2 linked regions of the Tamandua tetradactyla genome follow. The protein of the gene in region 2 purifies or fractionates together with the protein of the main gene of each other region. This does not show direct contact. Links are inferred from orthologs where the notes say so. Each region holds a gene or a part of one and is shown on either strand. Other genes may lie near its edges. The genes, in order: PFDN5 and PFDN4.

Region 1 (9,577 bases), on a different chromosome or scaffold from region 2:
CAGTGCTGAGCTACTGTGAGTCCTTTCTGAAAGTATAAAGCATGAATTTAAAAATTGCATGACTTTAATCAAGAGGCCAGAACTTGAAGAACTTATGGCAATGGAATGTTTAAAGACACACAGAAGATGAAGGCTGTAAGCCTAAGTATCAGCTGCCTGGCAGCAGCTCTCCTGGCTCACGTGTTCACAAATTTGTCAAAAAAAAAAAAAGATTGTCTATAATAAACAGTCTTATCTGTAGCCTCCCACAGGCCCACCAAATGAAAAATGTTTCTAGCTTCTTGCCTTTTCAACTGGCAGAAAGAAGTATAGAACAAATATCCATGGTGGAAAACCTATTTCCTCATTTCCAGAAAGAAACTTGTCTTCCTTCCTCTCTCTTCTCCTGTACTCAGGTTCTCATCACTTCCCTAGAGAAGGATGTGTTGGGCTGCTGGAGAGGGCTGTTGCTGCCATCCAGTGAGGACCCTGGCCCTGCCTGTGAGGCCTCCTGCTTACAGGGGTTGCTGCAGGAATGTGGCTGGAAATATCCTGACCCTACCCTGCTAAAAGTGAGTTAGAAAAGCAGGGAAGGGGTAGAAGCAGTAAACTTCATTCTTCTCCACAAGCCCAATAGCCATTTTGACTGGGGCTAGGGTTTACGGCACCCATGAACCTGTGTTCCCCTGCAGGTCATGCTCAGTGGTGCCAGTACCCTCAGCCCTCAGGAAATTCAGGCCCTGGCCTATGGGCTGTGCCCAGCCCACCCCAAGCGAGCCCAAGAACTTCTGATTGAAGCGATAGGACGTCTTCAAGGTCAGACAGTGCCAAACAAGAAGCACCTTGTCTTGGTGCTGGACAAGGTAAGGAGCTAGGAGGGTCAGAGGGCTGTGCCTGATGGGCAGTGGGCACCAACCTACTCCCACACTTATTTTTCCTCCTGTCCATACCTGGTTAAGGACAGTAACATCTGATTGCCTTTTGTGTAGGACCTGCAGAAGCTGCCATGGGAAAGCATGCCCACCCTCCGGGCACTGCCTGTCACCCGGCTGCCCTCCTTGCGCTTTCTGCTCAGCTACTCTGTTATCAAAGAGGTGGGGCTTGGGGGCCTTCCTTCAACTCGAGAGAGCTGAAGGAAGAGAGAGGCAGAGACCTGGAGAGATGGGAGAGGGTCTTAGGAGTGGGTTGGATGTGGAGAGGGGCTGTTGGAGCTTGGGCCTCCTGGTCAGACCAGGGTCCTGATCAACATTATCTACTCTTCAGTCTGGGGCCTCATCCGTGCTCAGCCAAGGGGTGGATCCACGCAACACGTTCTACGTCCTGAACCCTCACAATAACCTGTCAAGCACAGAACAGCAATTTCGAGCCAATTTTAGCAGGTCAGGGAAGGGGCAGGGGTGAGGGCAAGAAGACGGGTGGGGAAGGGTAGAAACAACTTGTAGGGGCAACATGTCCTTGTCTCCACCTTCTACCTAATGTTCCCTCTCCCCTCTTTGCCACATGACCCCTGCCATGCAGTTCCCTATTCTCACTCCTACCTTCTCCCCACAGTGAAGCCGGCTGGAGAGGGGTGGTGGGGGAGGTCCCAAGCCCGGAACAGGTGCAGGCGGCCCTGACTGAGCATGACTTATACATGTGAGTGCTTACACCAGGGAGCGGGGAAAGGGGTAGTCTCAGAGGATGGAACATCATGGTCTGCTTTGGAGCTTTAAAGCCTCTGGCTGACTCAGGATATTTCTGGAGACATGGACAGAGACCTGCTACTGCTAGTTTGAGGCTGACCTCACCTGTTTCTGCCCTAGCTATGCAGGCCATGGGGCTGGTGCCCGCTTCCTAGATGGACAGGCTGTCCTGCGGCTGAGCTGCCGGGCAGTGGCCCTGCTGTTTGGCTGCAGCAGTGCAGCCCTGGCTGTGCATGGAAACCTGGAGGGAGCTGGCATCGTACTCAAGTACATCATGGCCGGCTGGTGAGTCTTGGGTCAGGTGCATCCTAAAGCATTAAAGCTCCTGCTCCTAACCCCAAGTTCTTTCCGAAATCTGAACTCTGAATCTCTCTTGTGACTCACTTTCCTCCCATCCTAGTTTCCTGGCATGCCTGGTTGAGCCCTTTAATGCTTTGCCTCTTCTAACCTCCTCTTGGCACTGTGGGACGAGGGAGTCCCTCCTTGGCTGGATCCTCTCCTCCTCCCACCTCCCAGCAATGTTTACTGTGTATTTGTTTGAGATCCCTTATTATTTTGTATTTCTTCCTTCTCTCTTCCCAGTCCTTTGTTTCTGGGTAACCTCTGGGATGTGACTGACCGTGACATTGACCGCTATACAGAGGCTCTGCTGCAAGGCTGGCTTGGAGCAGGCCCAGGGGCCCCCCTCCTCTACTATGTCAACCAGGCCCGCCAGGCTCCCCGTCTTAAGTATCTTATTGGAGCTGCTCCCGTGGCCTATGGCTTACCTGTCTCCCTGCGGTGACCCCTTGGAGCTATTGTATATCTGGTAGAAGCCAAGTGACTCTGTTACCCCCCAACTTAGATTTTATCCTTAGAATAAATATTTTTAAGTGATTTCAGTGTTTTATATGAAATATTTCCTTTTAACTTAACCTTAATAAAGATATGTCACCTAAATACTGTTTGTGTAGCTCATTTGATAACATTTGTGGACTTCCTGCTTCCTCCCCACTAATCCCCCCCGGCCCCCACCATATGGTACTGTAAGTGCATGGGAACAGCTTTCAGGAGTTCAAATCTGAGAGCACTGGGGATAAAAGGCAAAACCACAGGACAGAGCTGGGCCTGGCTGGGTCTCAGCAGACAAAGCTGAAGGAGAGAGGGGTAATAAAATGCTCTTAGTGGGAACAGAGGCCCAGGGAAAAGTAGGGACCCATTGTGAGCAACTTGGCCAAGTGCCATCACGTCTGTCTTGTCTTTCTCCTCAGGTATCCTGGGTGTGACACTAGCTTGGTGCCTCTGTTATCTTGCCCCCCTTCCAAGTAGATGTCAGTGGCTGCTGTTCCTCTTTCACGTACAGCTGCTACACACTTGTCAGTGCCATGGACTTAAGCAGCAAATTCTGTGGGATTCTGCTCCCTGTGTATTTTATTTATTTATTTATTCATTTGTCTTCTCAACTAGATTGTAAGCTCCTGTGAAGTACAAATTATATCTTACGCTAGTGTATTCCTCACATCTAGTATATGGTAAATACATTTTGTGCTGAACTTGTTAGTTGTAATGGTACCTTCTTACTGTTCTCTCCACCTCTGGACACTCTTCATCTTCATTTGACCAAAGGACCGTTTTCACAGTGCTATGCCCCCTCCCACAGAACTTCACAGGCTTCCTCCTGGCCTCTCAGTTGCCACTCACGTGGATTTTTACCACTCACATGGAGCAGCTTACGCTGCTTGTGGTAATGTCCCGGGTACTTGTCTTATCTTTAAGATTTTTAAGTTCCTTGAGGACAGACGGCAGAAATCTTGCTTGCTACAACTTTACTGTGCTATGCTTGGGATGCTTTGTGAAAGGGATGCGCTCTTACCTTCTCGAATCAAAGGCGAATCTCGGGAATTTCCAGCCCCTCCTTCCTGGGACGGAGGAACATAGAGATATCCGGCGCAGCGAGGCCTCCTGGCGCTACCATCGAGATGCGCAGAGGATGGCTAGAGCGTAAAGCGCCGAGCCGACTTCCCTTTCATTAGCCCTCCTTCTCAATATGGCGCAGTCAGTTAACATCACGGAGTTGAGCCTGCCGCAGCTAGAAATGCTCAAGAATCAGCTGGACCAGGTGGCGACGGACCCCTGAAACACCCTTTTCCCGCCTCACAGCTCCCCTGCCCAGGCGGACTCCTCGCCGCCATTCCTCCCCTGTTTGGGAAACCTCCCTTCCAAGGCGAAACCGCCACCGCATCCCCGGTCCTGTCCCCTCTTCGGCCAGACTCCCCTGACGCTCCAACCCGTTGACCATCTTTCCTGTTCTCTGCAGGAAGTGGAGTTCCTGTCCACGTCCATTGCCCAGCTCAAGGTGGTACAGACCAAGTATGTGGAAGCCAAGGACTGTCTGAACGTGCTGAACAAGAGCAACGAGGGTATGAAGTAGGCGTGCGAGGGCCACACGCAACATAGGGAGTGTGGTTAGCCAGTTTCCCCTCTCTTCCCGCCGCTTCATCCAGTTTTCCTTACCCGAGGCGCGAAAACAATCCATTGCGTATTGTAAGAGCCCTTTGCATGTTCCATACCTAGAGTTGAAATGTACAGAACTTTCCTCTGTTTCTGTTGCCCCTGTTTCGTCCTTTTCATACTGGGTGCTGTACTATGTTGGAGTTCCCTGTAACGTTTTAATGTTGGCGCTGCCAACCTTCCCCAGGTGTTTGTCTTAATTCCTTTCACAGGGAAAGAATTACTTGTCCCATTGACCAGTTCTGTATCCTTTCCACAGGAACTGCTGCCCTGACCTCTCCCATTCACCCCTTCCCCCTCCACAAAGAGGAGGTAATTTTGATTACTTCCGAGTCCCTTTCATTCATGATTCTGAAAACTTCCAGCTCTCTTTTTTAATCTGGGGCTGCCTACCATCCAGCTACTGCCTTGTAAATTACCAAGGGGTGTGTAAAGTTGAGCTGCATTATTTTCCTTTGCTGTTTGAGGATATTAATCTAATATAGGGACAAAACTGGTAGTTTACACTTTTGCTAATAATCTGGATAGACGACATAGCAGTAGAAGAATAGGGTATAGAAACAGTGGTTGGCTCTGTTCCTTTTTCTTTTTCTTTTTTTTTTTTTCCGCATGGAGAGGCACCAGGAATTGAACCCAGGTCTCCAACATGGCAGGCAAGAATTCTGCCACTATTGGCTTTGTTTCTTAATCTTCAATTTCAGCTTAATTGTGGCTTTTTTTCCTAAATTGCCATCTCTGAGAAGCCTGGATTGTGTCCACCTATTAAGTGTTTTTGTTGTATGAACAATTTATGGCAATAGGTAGTCTGAGAACTGACAGGCTAAAAGAGAAACAAAGGAATAGCAGTACAGTAGGGAAAGGTTAAATAATCATTAAATTCATTAGGAACTAGGTAGTACAGGGTTGGAGGTATTAAGGGGAAGTGAGTCTGGGTTTTCACCTTTACTACTCTAGAAAAGTAGGAAAACATCATTGTATCTAATCTTTCTGGAAGAGCTAATGGGAAGAATTTGAGAATTGCTTGTAGGGTGGGAGATGGGGTCAGGGCAAGAGAGTGTGCTAGCATGTGACATTCTCTCCACAAGGAACCACTTTTTCTCTGCCTCTCCCCATTGGAGTTTTTAAGTATAGTTCTAAGGGCTTCTGATTATTCAGAAAAGGTTATATTCAGTCCCTTTGCCTTGAAGCTTTCTAGAGAAGGTGTGCCTTCAAAGGCCAAGCAGACTGACTTACTGGAATTGTGGTTCATACTGGGATAGTTTTTCCCTTAATCCTTGCTTCTCAGATGTACGTCCCTGGTAAGCTACATGATGTGGAACATGTGCTCATCGATGTGGGAACTGGCTACTATGTAGAGAAGGTGAGTTTCTAGAAGCAAATGGGTGCCCTTGTGAGCAAGAAAAGGGAGCTTAGGAGAAGATCTAAGCTGTGATATATGGTGTCTCCTCTTACCTCTCATTTACCTCTGACCTGTGCAGACAGCTGAGGATGCAAAAGACTTCTTCAAGAGGAAGATAGACTTCCTCACCAAGCAGATGGAGAAAATCCAGCCAGCTCTGCAGGAGAAGCATGCTATGAAGCAAGGTAAGCTTGACGTAGGCCATGTTTTGTCCCTTTCTACCTCCATGATTAAGAACATGGATTGCAGTGTGAACCCATAGGGTTTAATCTTGACTGGGTTAAAGCCATATCTTTATTTCTCTTCCTTTGGTGTTTTGGTGTGTTATTCTCTAGCTTTTGTGTACTATCTGTAGATTTCTGGGTTGGGTGCCTAGGATGGAAATCATGTCCGCTCTTACAGAGGTCTTATTTAATGGAGATGGAGTAGGGGATAAGATAATGTAAATGAGTATACAGGAAAGAAACATAGCACTAAGTAAGTACTAGTGATTGCTACCTTAGCTGCATGTTAGAATCACCTGGGCCTGCTCCACACCAACTAAATCAATCTCTGGGACCTTGTTCCTTAGGCATCAGTGTTTTTTAAAAGCACCCCAGTTACACAACCAGGATTGAGAACCCCTGTTCTAAACGCAAAAATCTTTTCCACGTTATATCTTGCAGTTAAGTTTGGCTCATTTAATACCATAATTTGTTCATTTTAGCACATTGACACATTGTAGGCTATAAGTTTGTACCTAGTGTGTCTGTCCCCCTATCACTGGTTAAAAATTGTATTAACAAACTGTAGCTGGTTGTCTCCCTTTGCTTTTCTTAACTCTAGGTCCTCTCCTTCCTTTAGCACTGGCCAGTGTCTGAATCTTCCTTTTTCTTCCCCAGCTGTCATGGAGATGATGAGCCAAAAGATTCAGCAGCTCACAGCCCTGGGAGCAACACAGGCTACTGCCAAGGCCTGAGCTTGTTGCAGAAATGGGGTTAGAGGGCACCCTGCTTCAGGGGCCTGGACTTCGTAGGAGTGGCTTTTTGGTGTGGGGAAGATAAGGGCCTTGTGTTTAATGCTAATAAATGTCATTTGGGCACAGTGTTGGTCTTTTCTTGCATTAATCAGGTACTGTGTTGGGGTTGGAGGTGTCCGGGAGAGTGGGCTCCTGCCCAGTGCGTGATAAGCTGTGAAGCGGTTCCCACTTTGGAGGCCCCACACGGGATCCCTAGGAGGAACTGAGAAATCTTGCCCTGCTTAGCAATGTAGTCCTGTGAGGGCTCTGTTGCCATGGGGACGGCCGGCAAGCGGAAGTGGGGCCAAGCGGGCTCTTCCCTTTCCGGGTTGAAGTTCCGCCTCCCCGCCGCGGGAGCCATATGGGTCATAGCTTCCTGTGCCATCTCCGCCAGTCACTTTCGTGGCTGTCCCCTTTCCAGGCTCGACTCTGCATAAGGAGCCTGGCGTCTGTCCCGGCCCCCAAACGACCCCGCGGCGACCTCATGGCACCGCCCCGAATCGGGACGCATAACGGCACCTTCCATTGCGACGAGGCACTAGCGTGCGCGCTGCTTCGCCTCCTTCCCGAGTACCGGGTATGGTCCGTGAAAATTAGCCCTGCACCTACCCGCGTGCTTCCGGGATGGACTGCGTTCTCTTTAACTCTACGTGTTCCAGCCCGTTCTAACTGGATCCCTCTGGTAGCACCCCTCCCACCCGCTCTGGCTCCCCTGTAATATATTAATTCCCTGCCTGCTCACCTCCCATGTATTCCGTAGGATGCAGAGATCGTGCGGACTCGGGACGCCAAGATATTGGCTTCGTGTGACATCGTGGTGGACGTCGGCGGTGAGTACGACCCTCAGAGACACCGATATGACCATCATCAGAGGTGAGTTCCCAGATCTCATTTCCTTTACCTCTTTACTTCACCCTTCCTCTGTCCTTATCGTCTACCTTGGTCCGTATCAGTGAAGGGAATTGGCCTTCGTTGAACTCAAACTCCTGAGTCCCGCAGGGAGTACATCCTCCCATCCTTCCAATTTCTGTCTGCCATTCACCCACCTTTTTGCCCTTAGACCTTTCTCACCCCTGACCTCTACCCATGCTTCCCTTGGCCCCCAGTCAATCCTGACTCACCTTCTTCAGCTCAGACTCTTTTCCTGCCAGCACCGTTATCACCCTAACTAATGCCCTTTCTGGGATTAATCCATTCATCTGCTCTTGCTGCCACACATGGGGCTGCTGGGCCCACATGATTGTAGTGATCGTTGGCAGTTTAAATAGGCATAATCTACCTCATTCAGACTCTTCCACTGAGAAATTTTTCTTGTCCAAGTGTGTTCATAGTACCATTCCAGTCCCCCTTCCTTCTCTTCAAGCTCTCTACCTCATTAAACCCCCTCAGTGATTGTCCCTGACTTCTACTCCTCAAAGAAAAGTGAACTTTTCCTGCATGAACTTCCTCAGTTTCCCACCCCTGAATACCCTGAACTCTCTCAATCCTTTTCAGGAAAAAGTGGTCCCTTGTTTTGGAGATTAGTCCTCTGCCCTTCTTCCAATCTATTACTTCCTTCTGCTTGGCTTCCCCTCACAGGTCTCCCACCAGCGTTTCTATTCTTCCCTACAGCCCAAAACTGTCCAAAACATCTCCCATCTTGAAACAAAGGAGTGAACTCAAAACAGAAAACCCCATCAAATCCACTACACTGTTCAAAGTAGTCATCTCTGAGGGATCCTGAAGACATTTTAAGTTTCTATATTTCTCCATCTCTTTTCTTTCCTTCACCCTATTTTTCTTAAACATTGTACTTCTTACTTTTATAAATGGTGTCTAAAGGGAAACCTCCCCTTAGTTACAGCTTAAGCTCTCACTGTCAGTCACTCTTCAAAAGAATAGCCTATCCTGGCTCTACCTCTTCCCTTCCAATTAATTCCCCTCCAACCAGCTGCAGTAGCCTTCACACCCATCTCAGTTGGCTTAGGGTCTCACTTTAACTGACCTCCTTGTGGCATATGACATCATTGACTACTTCCTCTTTGCTAACGGTTCTAGTTCATATACTTTTTCTAAAAATTATACAATGTCTGGAATATAAGACATAAAATGAATGCACACAAACCTATTTCCCTACCTAAGAATGGAAACATTGCCATAACCTTTGCATCTGTTCTTGTGAGCTTTTTCCCTAGCCCTCTCTCCTGTCTCCCTCACAAGTAAGAATGTTGTTCAGTTCTCACAATGGATTTTAGCGTATGTGTATTTCTATAAATGATGTATTGTTTAGTTTTGTTTGTTTTTAAACTTTATCAGGGAATGTTAGTGTATCATCAATCTTTATACCCTGTGTATATTTTATATATATTGTATTTGTACAATAGTTAATAATAAAAATCATTAAAAAAGAGCTCCCTAAATGATTCTGATGGACTGGTATTTGGAAATAACAGCTGTAGTTTTTATTTCCTTAATATGTAACACCTGCTCCTTATTCTCTGTCCCACTGCTGTTCAAATTTCTGCCCTCCTCATTCACCTGGACCATTACAGGTAATCTTGCATTCGTTCTCCAAATGGGCTGGCATGATGCTCTAAAATGCACTTGCCTGCTTAAAATCCCTCAGTGCCCCTCCCCCACCCCACTCCATTGCCTACAGATAAAAATCCAGATTTCTTTTTTTTACATCAATTTTTTTCTTTTTTATGAAACATAACCACATACAAACATAAACATTATCATATGATCATTCCATTTTGTTATGTAATCAATTACACACTATCATCACATAGTTGTATATTCATCATCATGATCATTTCTTAGAACATCTGCATCAATTCAGAAGAAGCAATAAAAAGAAAACAAAAAAATCATACATACCATACCACTTACCCCTCTCACCAGCATTTCAATCTACTAAATTTATTTTACCATTTGTTCCCCTTATTAGTTATTTATTTTTAATCCATATGTTTTACTTGTCTTTCAGTAAGGTAGACAAAAGGAGCATCAGACACAAGGCTCTCACAACCAAACAGTCACACTGCAACA
Region 2 (9,577 bases):
ATCAGGCTCCCATACACACTGTTTTTGAAAATGTAGAGACGAATTTGGCCATCTGACTTTCATCTTTTCAAAACAGGCATTTCCTGTTGGTGGGGCCCTAACAGCAGCCACCAGCATGCCTTGGCTGCTGGCGTCCAGATCCCTCACAGTTACTTTTCCTACTGGAGGTAGGGCTAACGTTATGTGAGGGTCAAACACGCATTGTTGGCAACTATCGGTACCTTCCAGGACTAAGAGCTGTATCTTCTGCTTACATCTCACTGTCCTAGAACACTCCTATATTTCTTGAAGCTGCATTTTGGCAGGGAGGTCGTAACTCTTAACTGGGGTGCAGGGGTTGTCCGTGAATGTCAAGAAGTTCATTCATCCCCGGAAATTGTATGCAAAACATTTAACAGGTGCATGCCTCCCAGAAGACTCTTTATAGCTTTCATCAGATTCTTTGAGATCATCAACCCCAAAAGGTTCGAGACTCTTGCTAATTACTACTGCTCTTGAAGTCCTATGAACTCAAAGAGGAAGAAGTCATATTGTAGTATTGAAAGTAGGACAAAGTTGTGGGAAGAGCCAGAATGTATTCAAATCCAGGCCATTACACCTCAGGCAAATTACTCGACTCTTTGAAGCCACCTTAGGTTTGTCATCTGTAAAATGGGGAGGCCAAGTCCTATCTGGTAGGGCTGGCACAGGGCCTGGGGATGGAGTCTGTCAATAAATGAGAACTCAGCGATTTATTTCTAGAATATTGTTTGCCAAAGTCACTGCAAAGGAAGAACATACACAGATACAGACCCAGAAGGAAATTCTGCTAAGTCTAAGAGAAAATGTGACTGCTCACGGTGAAAATAAAATTCCCTGGGCACTCACTGCACCATTTTCATGGCAATAAATACCTTACGGAATGATAGGAGGAAGCTAAACTCTATTCAATTATGCCCCATACTGAATCAGGGTCACACAAAGAATCTTCATTGATGGCTGGGGTCCCTCATTGTCCTGAAAACCTAAGAGACAGAAATTCTGGGCCATTTCCGTCTGCTTTCATTTTAATTTTTAAAAAAGATATTCAGCAAATCTCTATAAAATTTTGCCTTATCCTGTATTATTCATCTTTCATGCATATAGTTATTCATTCAACAATTATTCAGCCAGACACTATGATCTAGAGGGAAGCTTCATCCTAGCAGGAAATGTGGGCAAAAAACAAGATGAACAAGATAATTTTAGATAATGATAAATGTGTTAGTGAAAATAAAATAGAGTTTAGGGGTAGAAAGTGCTGGGAGCTGGGGAGTAGAGGGGTGCTTCTTTAGACATGGAGGACAGAGATGGCCTCTCTGAGGAGGAGACATTTGCACTCTGGAAAATGAAGAGAATTCAGAGTGTAAAATCCCTCATGGTCCAGAGCAAAATCTTGAAAAGGAGAACTTTAGAGATGAGAGGACTGAAGGATCTCATCTAGAGATTCAAAATTCATGACCAGTTGTAAGGTATAATGTATTACTAAAGGATTCCAGATTGCACACAACTTACTTATTAAAACCAAAAGGCTATTGCTTTTAATTTTAATAAGTAAACTGCTGGGTGGTGCAATTCTTGCCTGCCATGCTAGAGACCAGGTTCAATTCCCAGAGACTGCCCATGCCCTCCTCCCCGCCCCCCCCCCCCCAAAATCTATTGCTACTGTATGTTGAATGAAATGTCAGGAACAAAAAGACACATGCCTCAATTATATGGACTAACGATAATATAAAAATTCAGTGAACTAAAGTCAAGAGCATGGGTTATCAGGTTGGGGGTTATTGTAAAAGAGTCCTAGATCATAACAGTCACATGTATTCAGGAGGTGTAACTTTTAATTCTAAATTCAGAGATACTGAATCACAAGCATTGGGGACAACTAAATCAATAAGCTAAGCCCTCGATCTTGAGGTTCGCCCCTATGAAACTTATTCCTGAAAAGAACAGACTAAGCCTACTTAAAATGAGGCCTAAGAGTCACCCCCAGAGAACCTCTTTCATTGCTCAGATGTGGCCTCTCTTTCTAAGCCAACATGGCAAGTAACCCAATGCCCTACCCCCCTACATGGGACATGATTCCCAGAAGTGTAAATCTTTCTGGCAATATGAGAGAGAACTCCCGGGATGAGCTGAGACCTAGCATTAAAGGATTGAGAAAACCTTCTTGACCATAAGGGGGGAAAGAGAAATGAGAAAAAATAAATTGTCAGTGGCTGGAAGATTTCAGAGTCGAGAGGTTACTGTGGAGGTTATTCTTATGCGTTATATTGCTATCCTTTTTCAGATTATGGTGTATTGGAGTAGTTAAAGGGAAGTACCTGAAACTGTAGAGCTGTGTTCCAGTAGTCTTGTTTCTTGAAGATGATTGTATAATGATATAGCTTTTACAATGTTACAGTATGATTGTGAAAACCTTGTGTCTGATGCTCCCTTTATCGAGGGTATGGACAGATGGATAAAAAAATAAAAAACAAATAATAGGGGAAACAAAGGTTAAAATAAATTGGGTAGATGGAAATAATAGTGGTCAACAAGAGGAAGGTGTAAGGGGTATGGTATGTATGAGTTTTTTTCTTTTTTCTTTTTATTTCTTAATGTTCTAAAAAAAATGATCATGGTGATGATATTGTGAGCCACTGTCTGTACACCATGTATGGAATGTTTGTATGTTAAGAATGTTTGTTTTTATGTTGTTTTAACAATAAAAATATTAAAAACAAAAACAAAAAACAAGGCCAAGACTGCTGCTTAGTTTTTATGTAAACCCCCAGAACTTCACATGGTTTCTGGTGCAATAAAGGGCCTTAACAAATACCTGCAGTAACCACCCCCCCCCCCCCAAAAAAAAGGCTATTGCTAGGATATTTCACTCTCACTTACTGGCACACCTCTGTATATGAATATACACGTACAGTGGACAGAGGGGAAAAGTGTTTGTACATGTAGCTAACCCAGCAGGGATTATTCATAACACTGAAATACATGCAGGAAGATGTTGCATTTGTCATGTGAGTCTCAGAGACTCACTATATAGAAGAAAATCCCTTACGCATTAGCCACCACATATCCCTCTCTCTGTATGCTCCTTGCCCACCATGGTTCCCTTTGCCCACCCCTTCTCTGCCATTCTGGCCTTCCTTTTATGACATGTTCTTAGGGTCTTTGAATTAATGCCTTACCCCCTCACCAACCTTCCCTTCCCCTTCTCCCTAATCACATAGATCTCAGCCTAAGGATACCTCAGGAAAGCCTTCCCTGACCTCAATTCAGACCTTATACTGGCCCTCATTTCACAAGTGCCTTTCCTCACACTGGAAATTTTACATTTTACTGTGCGACTATTTGATTAATGCCCATATTTCCTCCTAGAGCATTTAGTTTTATGAAGCTATGAAGATATGGACTTCATTATTGCTCAACCATTGTTATCTCCATCACCTAAAACACAGACTATACCATATTAAAAGCTCAAAAAAATTTTATTGTCTACATCAAGGAAAGGAAAAAAGGTCAGTGGTCACTAATTTAATCCAATCCATAGTGGGGTGTGATGGAAAATTTCTGCAATTAAAGTTCAGAGTTCAAATTATTCTTCTATCATTTATTTCATCTCTCTGCACTGCCAATTTCCACAGCTATCTTCCAGGGAATTAAAGGCTACACCTAAAAATGGAAGGCCCAATTTAATAGTGGCAATGTGGAAAACCAAAGCCTCACACTTGTTTGACTCACCAAGAACCTAAGCACTACTCTGGTACACAGTAAGAGTTTGTGAATGCCAGAACCAGTAGGGAGAACAATTTGTCTCAGTTTGTTTAGGAAGTTCTCAATTTTAGCACTCCAAGTACTGTGTGGCGGGAAAGCCCTCCTTTCTGAGCAAACCAAGATAGCTGGTCATCCTACACCAGGCACAGGTAACTTCGACTTTATGATACAGAAGAGAGGAAAGCAAAAAAAGCAAGTTCCTCTTATGTGGTCTTAGAAGTGGAATGAGGGCAAATGTATATAAAACCTGGAAAGCAAATCCCCTCAGCCAGAGCATTCTCACGGCCTGGCAGTTTAAAAGGTGGGCTCTGGAGTAAGAATGCCAGTGTTTAAATACTAGCTGTGCCTCTGTACTTCAGTTTCCTCATCTGTAAAATGGGGATAAAAAACAGTATCCCCAAAAGGGTCATGAGATTTGATATTAAAATAAATAAACCATAACACACCTTGAACTGTTCCTAGCACAGAATAAAGCCTCCATTATCAGCTGGTATTATTTTCTCACTAAATTTTATTTTTCTTTTACCTAGAGATCTTTAAGCATCTGAGTACACTTACTCGATTACAAACCCCAAATGGGAGGGAGCTTGCTTACTAGCAAAAAGGATAGGCTTTGAGGGAAAACAAAACAAAACAAAACCATAAAACCTGTGTTTGAACCTGGCTCCCCTTCTTATTAAGGAAATCATTTTATAGAGGTTGGGGTCACTTAACCTTTCTGCATCTAAGTTTCTCCATTGTAAAGTTGGGGGAAACCCGTATCCTTGATAGATTGCTGGCACCAGAGATAATAATCGGAAGACTGGGCCCTGGTACCTCATCTGTTTCTCCATAAATACTGGTTTTAGTCCGGAGGGCACAGGTGCATTAAGCATGGACATGGGCCGCTCAAGGATGGACACACGAGCTCTGGGGCCAGAAAACCTGACAGTGTGTCCTGTTCTGCCCCTTATAAGCAGCGTGACCTTGGGCAGGTTACCCGACTCGCTGAACCTCAGCTTCAGCACCTGAGAGACAGAACACTAGAAGCACCTAGCCCATGGGCTTGTGAGGCTTAGCTGCGGTAATCCAGGTAAAGCGTTTACTACAGGGGTCAAAGGCAGACCATGGACCTTCGGCTTCCCAAAATCCAAGGGCAAGAACAGACCCGCGGCGTCCTCCGACTCTCCGGGGGCACCCTCTACACCGCGGGAGGCGGCCCAGAGCCCCCTAAGAGTCCCAGTCTGGACACCCACCCGAGGCAACCGGCGGGCCTGAGGAGACAGGCAGCGCGGGCAGGTCTCGCCGCGAGACCGCCTTCGTGGTCGGGAGCCTCAATTCCGAGCCCCTCCCCGCGCCTCAGAGCTGGGCACCCCTAGCATCCCGCCTATCAAGTCCCCACGCTCGCAACCCGCCCGCTGCCCGAGCATCCAGCGCCGGGAGCGCCCCACTCACCGCCTTCTTCATGGTGGCCGCCATCTTGGGACTCTGTTACGGCGTGAGGGGGGGAGGGCCGCGATGGTGCACTCCTCTTCCGTGCCCTCTCTCACTCCCTGTCAGCCCAGAACTCCTAAAAAGTACAACACGGTCACCGTATTCCTTCTCTGGGATCTTCAACCAAAGACTTCTCTGAAGTCTGAGATTCAGGAAGGAAATCGCAACCTGGATGGACTTGGTATATCCCAATTAAAGGGACAGTCTCCCTGTGGCTAGACATAAACAAGGGAGGTGTGGCGAGCGGCCGCAACTCCGGCATCGGCCGGCAGGGGACGCCCAGCCCCGCAAGTGTGATGGGCGGGGTTGGGAGCGCCGGGCAGGGCTTGGAGGAGAAAGGGGTATTCTTCATCTCCAACAAATTTGTTTAGAGAATTGACCCATTTGGAAAGGCACTAGAAACGAATGACTTTGTCAGTAGACTATGAGATTTATATGCACTGATAATTCAGATGTGTTCGGAGGAAGCCCTCCAATTAATTAATTAATTCGACAATGTTTTTCAACAATTTCTGCATACGGCCTTGACTTTGCTAGTTGCTTGTTCTATGCCTCTAGACCCCAACTCTATTTTTTGTTTGCTTCAGGATCCCTGAACCCAAATAACCTACGTTTATCGATATCTACCATATTAGAAATTAGAAATTAAACATTCTTTTTAAAAAATGGATTTGTTGATTCAGTTAAAATAACAAAAATATGCCACATTAATATTTTTAATGGAAAATAGCTGTCTTTTCCTAAGCAAAAAACATATTGAGAATGATATTGTTTTACATTTTTGCAAATCTCTTTAATGTCTGGCTTAATGGAAGGCAGACAGTAACATCTAACATCTGCTTCTGTGTTCAATCTCTTGCGATATGTTGTTTAGCTGAACTAGGTGAAGAAAACCTGGCCTCACACAGATATGTCGTTGGAAAAGGCAGGCTTCACGAATCTTCTGAAAAGATTTCAGGAATCCCTAGGAGTCCTCAGGCCACACTTTGAGAGCCAATGCCGTGGAGGTTTTCTCTTCTCTCGAAGCCCCAATTTCCTCTTTGGTTGGATGAGGGTAATGGACTTGTCACACCTTCTGCCTTCCCTGCAAAAGCATTTAGCCCCACACTAATTGTTCATCCTCCTGCCAGGTTCCCGGCTCCAGACTCCAAGCCCTTTGCAGTTAGGTCTTCCCAATGCCCAGTTTAACATATACTTGCTGAATGAGGGGATTTGTTTTTCAGGTTAAATCCTTGCACAGCAGCTGGTACATAGATGTTCCACCAATGACATCCATTTATTTAATAGCTCACATATAGTACCTAACACCTAAAAGCACTACAGAAATGGACAATGAAAAAGTGCAAATTTATTACAAATGGTGGCAAGTTCACGACGGAGACAAATGAGGGCCTGAGACAGAGAAGAACAGAAGGGAATGGTCGGGGCTGGGCACTCTGGAGGTGGCCATTACACTCTGAAAGATGGCGGCAGCCAGCCATAGGAAGAACAGGGAAAGGGGATTTCAGGCAGATGGGGCATCGTGAGCACAAGTCGTGGGATGGGAAGGAACTTGGCTAGAATGTAGGAGCAAAGGGCAGAGTGGCACAGAGTGAGTGGAAGGCAAGGTCCAGACTCAGAGATGGGGATTCTTTAGACCATGGAGAGGACAAAGTGGGGAGTGGGGAGGAGAGAGTTCTTTCTGAGATTTCCAAATGACTTGTATTAAGAAATGACAGGTCTGAAAGGCGAGGACCTATAGAGTATGAATTCAAGGAAGTGTAATTTGATTGTTTGAGTTGAAAGGAACAAGGTGGGAGGCTCAGGGAGAGAAGCCTAGAATCACAGATTTTATGACCAGAAGGTATCTCAAGCCTTCATCTGGGCTAAACATTATCTTATGATGATGATGATGATGATAAAGTAATATATAAAACTAATGAACACGTGTTATGAGGCAGGTACCGTGCTAAGTGTTTTCGTCCTCACCATACTGAGGTAAATACCCCTGTTGGTGACCATTTTCCAAGTCAGGAGATGGAAAACCACCAGGAAATAACAGAGGCTGTGTTTAAACCCTGGCTAGCCTGATGGCAGAGGCCATACTCCTGAGCACTAGGCTCTACCACTCCAGTACACATCCTGTGGAGAGCCAGACTCAGGGTGGACTAAGAACTCTTGCCCCTGACTTGGGGCAGGAGCAGGCATTGTGCCGAAGACCCACCAGGAAGCACTCGAGAGCCAGCCTGCCTAGTGCTGGAGATCAAACCACGCCTGCCCCACACCCACCCCAGTGTCCAATGCTGGGCAAGTTACTTTCATGGGGGGAAATAATAGTAACTCCCTACTGCTCATTTGCCAGCAAAATTCCTCTGCCCAAGTTATGACCTCTCAAAACACTTTTTGAGGGTGCCTCTCTCCCCACCCACGAGGCTCACAGCAGCTAGGAAACCCCAGGGTGGGAGGGAGCAGGTGAGAGGCCTAGGTCAGAAGCCCAGGCAGAGGGAGGAGTATGGTGAGGTCCCACCCACCTGAAGCTGACCTTGTCAATGCAGAGCTGGCCACTGTAGGGGCTGCTGGGATGTAACACGAGGCCAAAAGCAGGTGTGACCAAGGACAGGTAAAACCAAGAATATTGAAAGTGACACACAAGAGTCTTCTGATAGAAGAGGACTTCTGATAGAAGAAGCTGCTTCTGGAAAAGCAGTTTGTTCTGGAAAAGCAGCTTCTGGCATCTGAAGGATGACTGAAGTGTAATCGGAATAGATTATTCCCAGGTGTTTAAAATGAGCGGCCCAGCTGCTGTTAGACTTGCCCTGGGAAGCCTCCAGTGTCCACGTCCCCTGTTTCTGATTCATCAAGGGAAGAGGTTGATTCAGAGGAAACCTTTGGCTCCAAGTACAGAAGACCTACCTGAGCGTGATTTACACAATAAGGGCCACTGTTTCTCATATAACAAGGAATATGGAAAGAGGCAATGGCTGGATTGGATCAGCAGCTCAAAAAGACTTTGCATCGAGAAGGAATATTCTAAGTCTTTGGCCTTCCCTTCATCATCACAAGATGGTTGTTGATTCTACAAGCATCATGTCCTCACCAGGGGTATGCAAAGGCAGAGAGGAAAGGGGAGAGACTTACCTCACTGCTATGCTCTGGGGTATACTCCTCTCATTCTCTCCAGCTCTACATAGCAATCCCGGGTTCTTTTATTCGTTCCTTCTTTCTCTCTCCTTCAAGGAGGAAAATATTTCCCAGATTGCCCCTTGCTGTTATGCCTGTCTTACTGGTCAGAACTGTATCACATGCCCACGTCTAGATCAATTCCTAGCAAAAGCAGTCCATTAGTGATTACCTTCAAAAAGTTATGATTGTGGGCAGGCCCCAGTGGCTCAGTGGCAGAGTTCTCACCTGCTATGCTGGAGACCCGGGTTCTATTCCCAGCGCCTGCCCATGAAAAAAGAAAAGAAAAAAATATATATATATGATTGATTCCTTGAGGATGGAACTATGGCTGCCTAAACTAAAGACACCTGGGATCCTGCAAACAAGGAAGAATGAGGTAACAGCGGCTGGGTCAGCAGCCAACAGTGTCTTCTGTCCAGGAGTTCCTAGTCATCCTCTAGGGTGGTTCACAAAGGGAGGGTCCAGCAGGGGCTGGGCAGAAGGGGAGGATTATGAAATCTGGACAGAGGGACAGGAGCAGACCTGTAGCAGCCTTGGTACTGAATTGGCTCTCTGTAAAGACCCCAGCTTTACTGGTACTTCAAATCCACTCTGTTTTTTTTTTTTTTACACTCCTGTCCATCTCCTTTCCCCAGCCCTTGGTATCCTTTGAAAAACCTCTTTCCTAGCAAGAAAACCAGTTCTGCAAGTGCACATCAGGGACTTTCAAGTCTTCTGTTTAGCATCCTTTCATTTCCTTAATATTGAGTATCCCTAACCTTTGCTTTTCTTTCTTTGTCCAATTGCACACTGTCCTTAGCTGTTTGGGCCAATGAAAGAAAGAATCCTGGGGTATAAGTGGAAACATTTGGGGACTGCTAGGGAAGAAGGTCACCAATGACCACTTGAAAATACTATCTCAACAGAGGGTGAATGAAGAGATGACTTTAGGTCAGGTTGAAATTTGGCTGCTTATGGGCTGGATCCCAGATATATGGCTTCCTTGACTCATAAAGTGTTTCATTTATTGAACCAACAGGCAAAAATTAAGAGGTTTCCATTTTTGATGCATGATGGTGCATTCACAAGCCAACAATATCCAGATATTTAGTTTTGCTAGAGCTTGTCAAGTCAAGTCCTGGTCACACTGCATTCCTGCATGACAGCGGCTGCTGGA

What was found.
Region 1: the proteins of PFDN4 (region 2) and PFDN5 purify together in Homo sapiens (affinity purification with mass spectrometry; 5 studies listed by BioGRID and IntAct, counting the BioPlex papers as one, with this or other methods). This does not show direct contact. The link is inferred for Tamandua tetradactyla from reciprocal best matches to the Homo sapiens genes PFDN4 and PFDN5.

What each region holds. Positions count from the first base shown.
Region 1 is NC_135333.1:114,656,725-114,666,301, forward strand, and holds PFDN5 (prefoldin subunit 5), read left to right. Parts: upstream 1-3,627; 5' UTR 3,628-3,687; coding exon 3,688-3,759; intron 3,760-3,957; coding exon 3,958-4,060; intron 4,061-4,363; coding exon 4,364-4,395; intron 4,396-5,436; coding exon 5,437-5,511; intron 5,512-5,629; coding exon 5,630-5,735; intron 5,736-6,431; coding exon 6,432-6,508; 3' UTR 6,509-6,634; downstream 6,635-9,577. Other genes in the region: ESPL1 (separin), read left to right, coding at 396-551, 672-842, 969-1,073, 1,243-1,358, 1,531-1,614, 1,782-1,946, 2,244-2,445; MYG1 exonuclease, read left to right, coding at 6,909-7,124, 7,308-7,420. UniProt on the Homo sapiens protein: Binds specifically to cytosolic chaperonin (c-CPN) and transfers target proteins to it. Binds to nascent polypeptide chain and promotes folding in an environment in which there are many competing pathways for nonnative proteins.
Region 2 is NC_135327.1:31,401,160-31,410,736, forward strand, and holds the start of PFDN4 (prefoldin subunit 4), read right to left. Parts: upstream 5,487-9,577; 5' UTR 5,245-5,486; coding exon 5,221-5,244; intron 1-5,220. UniProt on the Homo sapiens protein: Binds specifically to cytosolic chaperonin (c-CPN) and transfers target proteins to it. Binds to nascent polypeptide chain and promotes folding in an environment in which there are many competing pathways for nonnative proteins.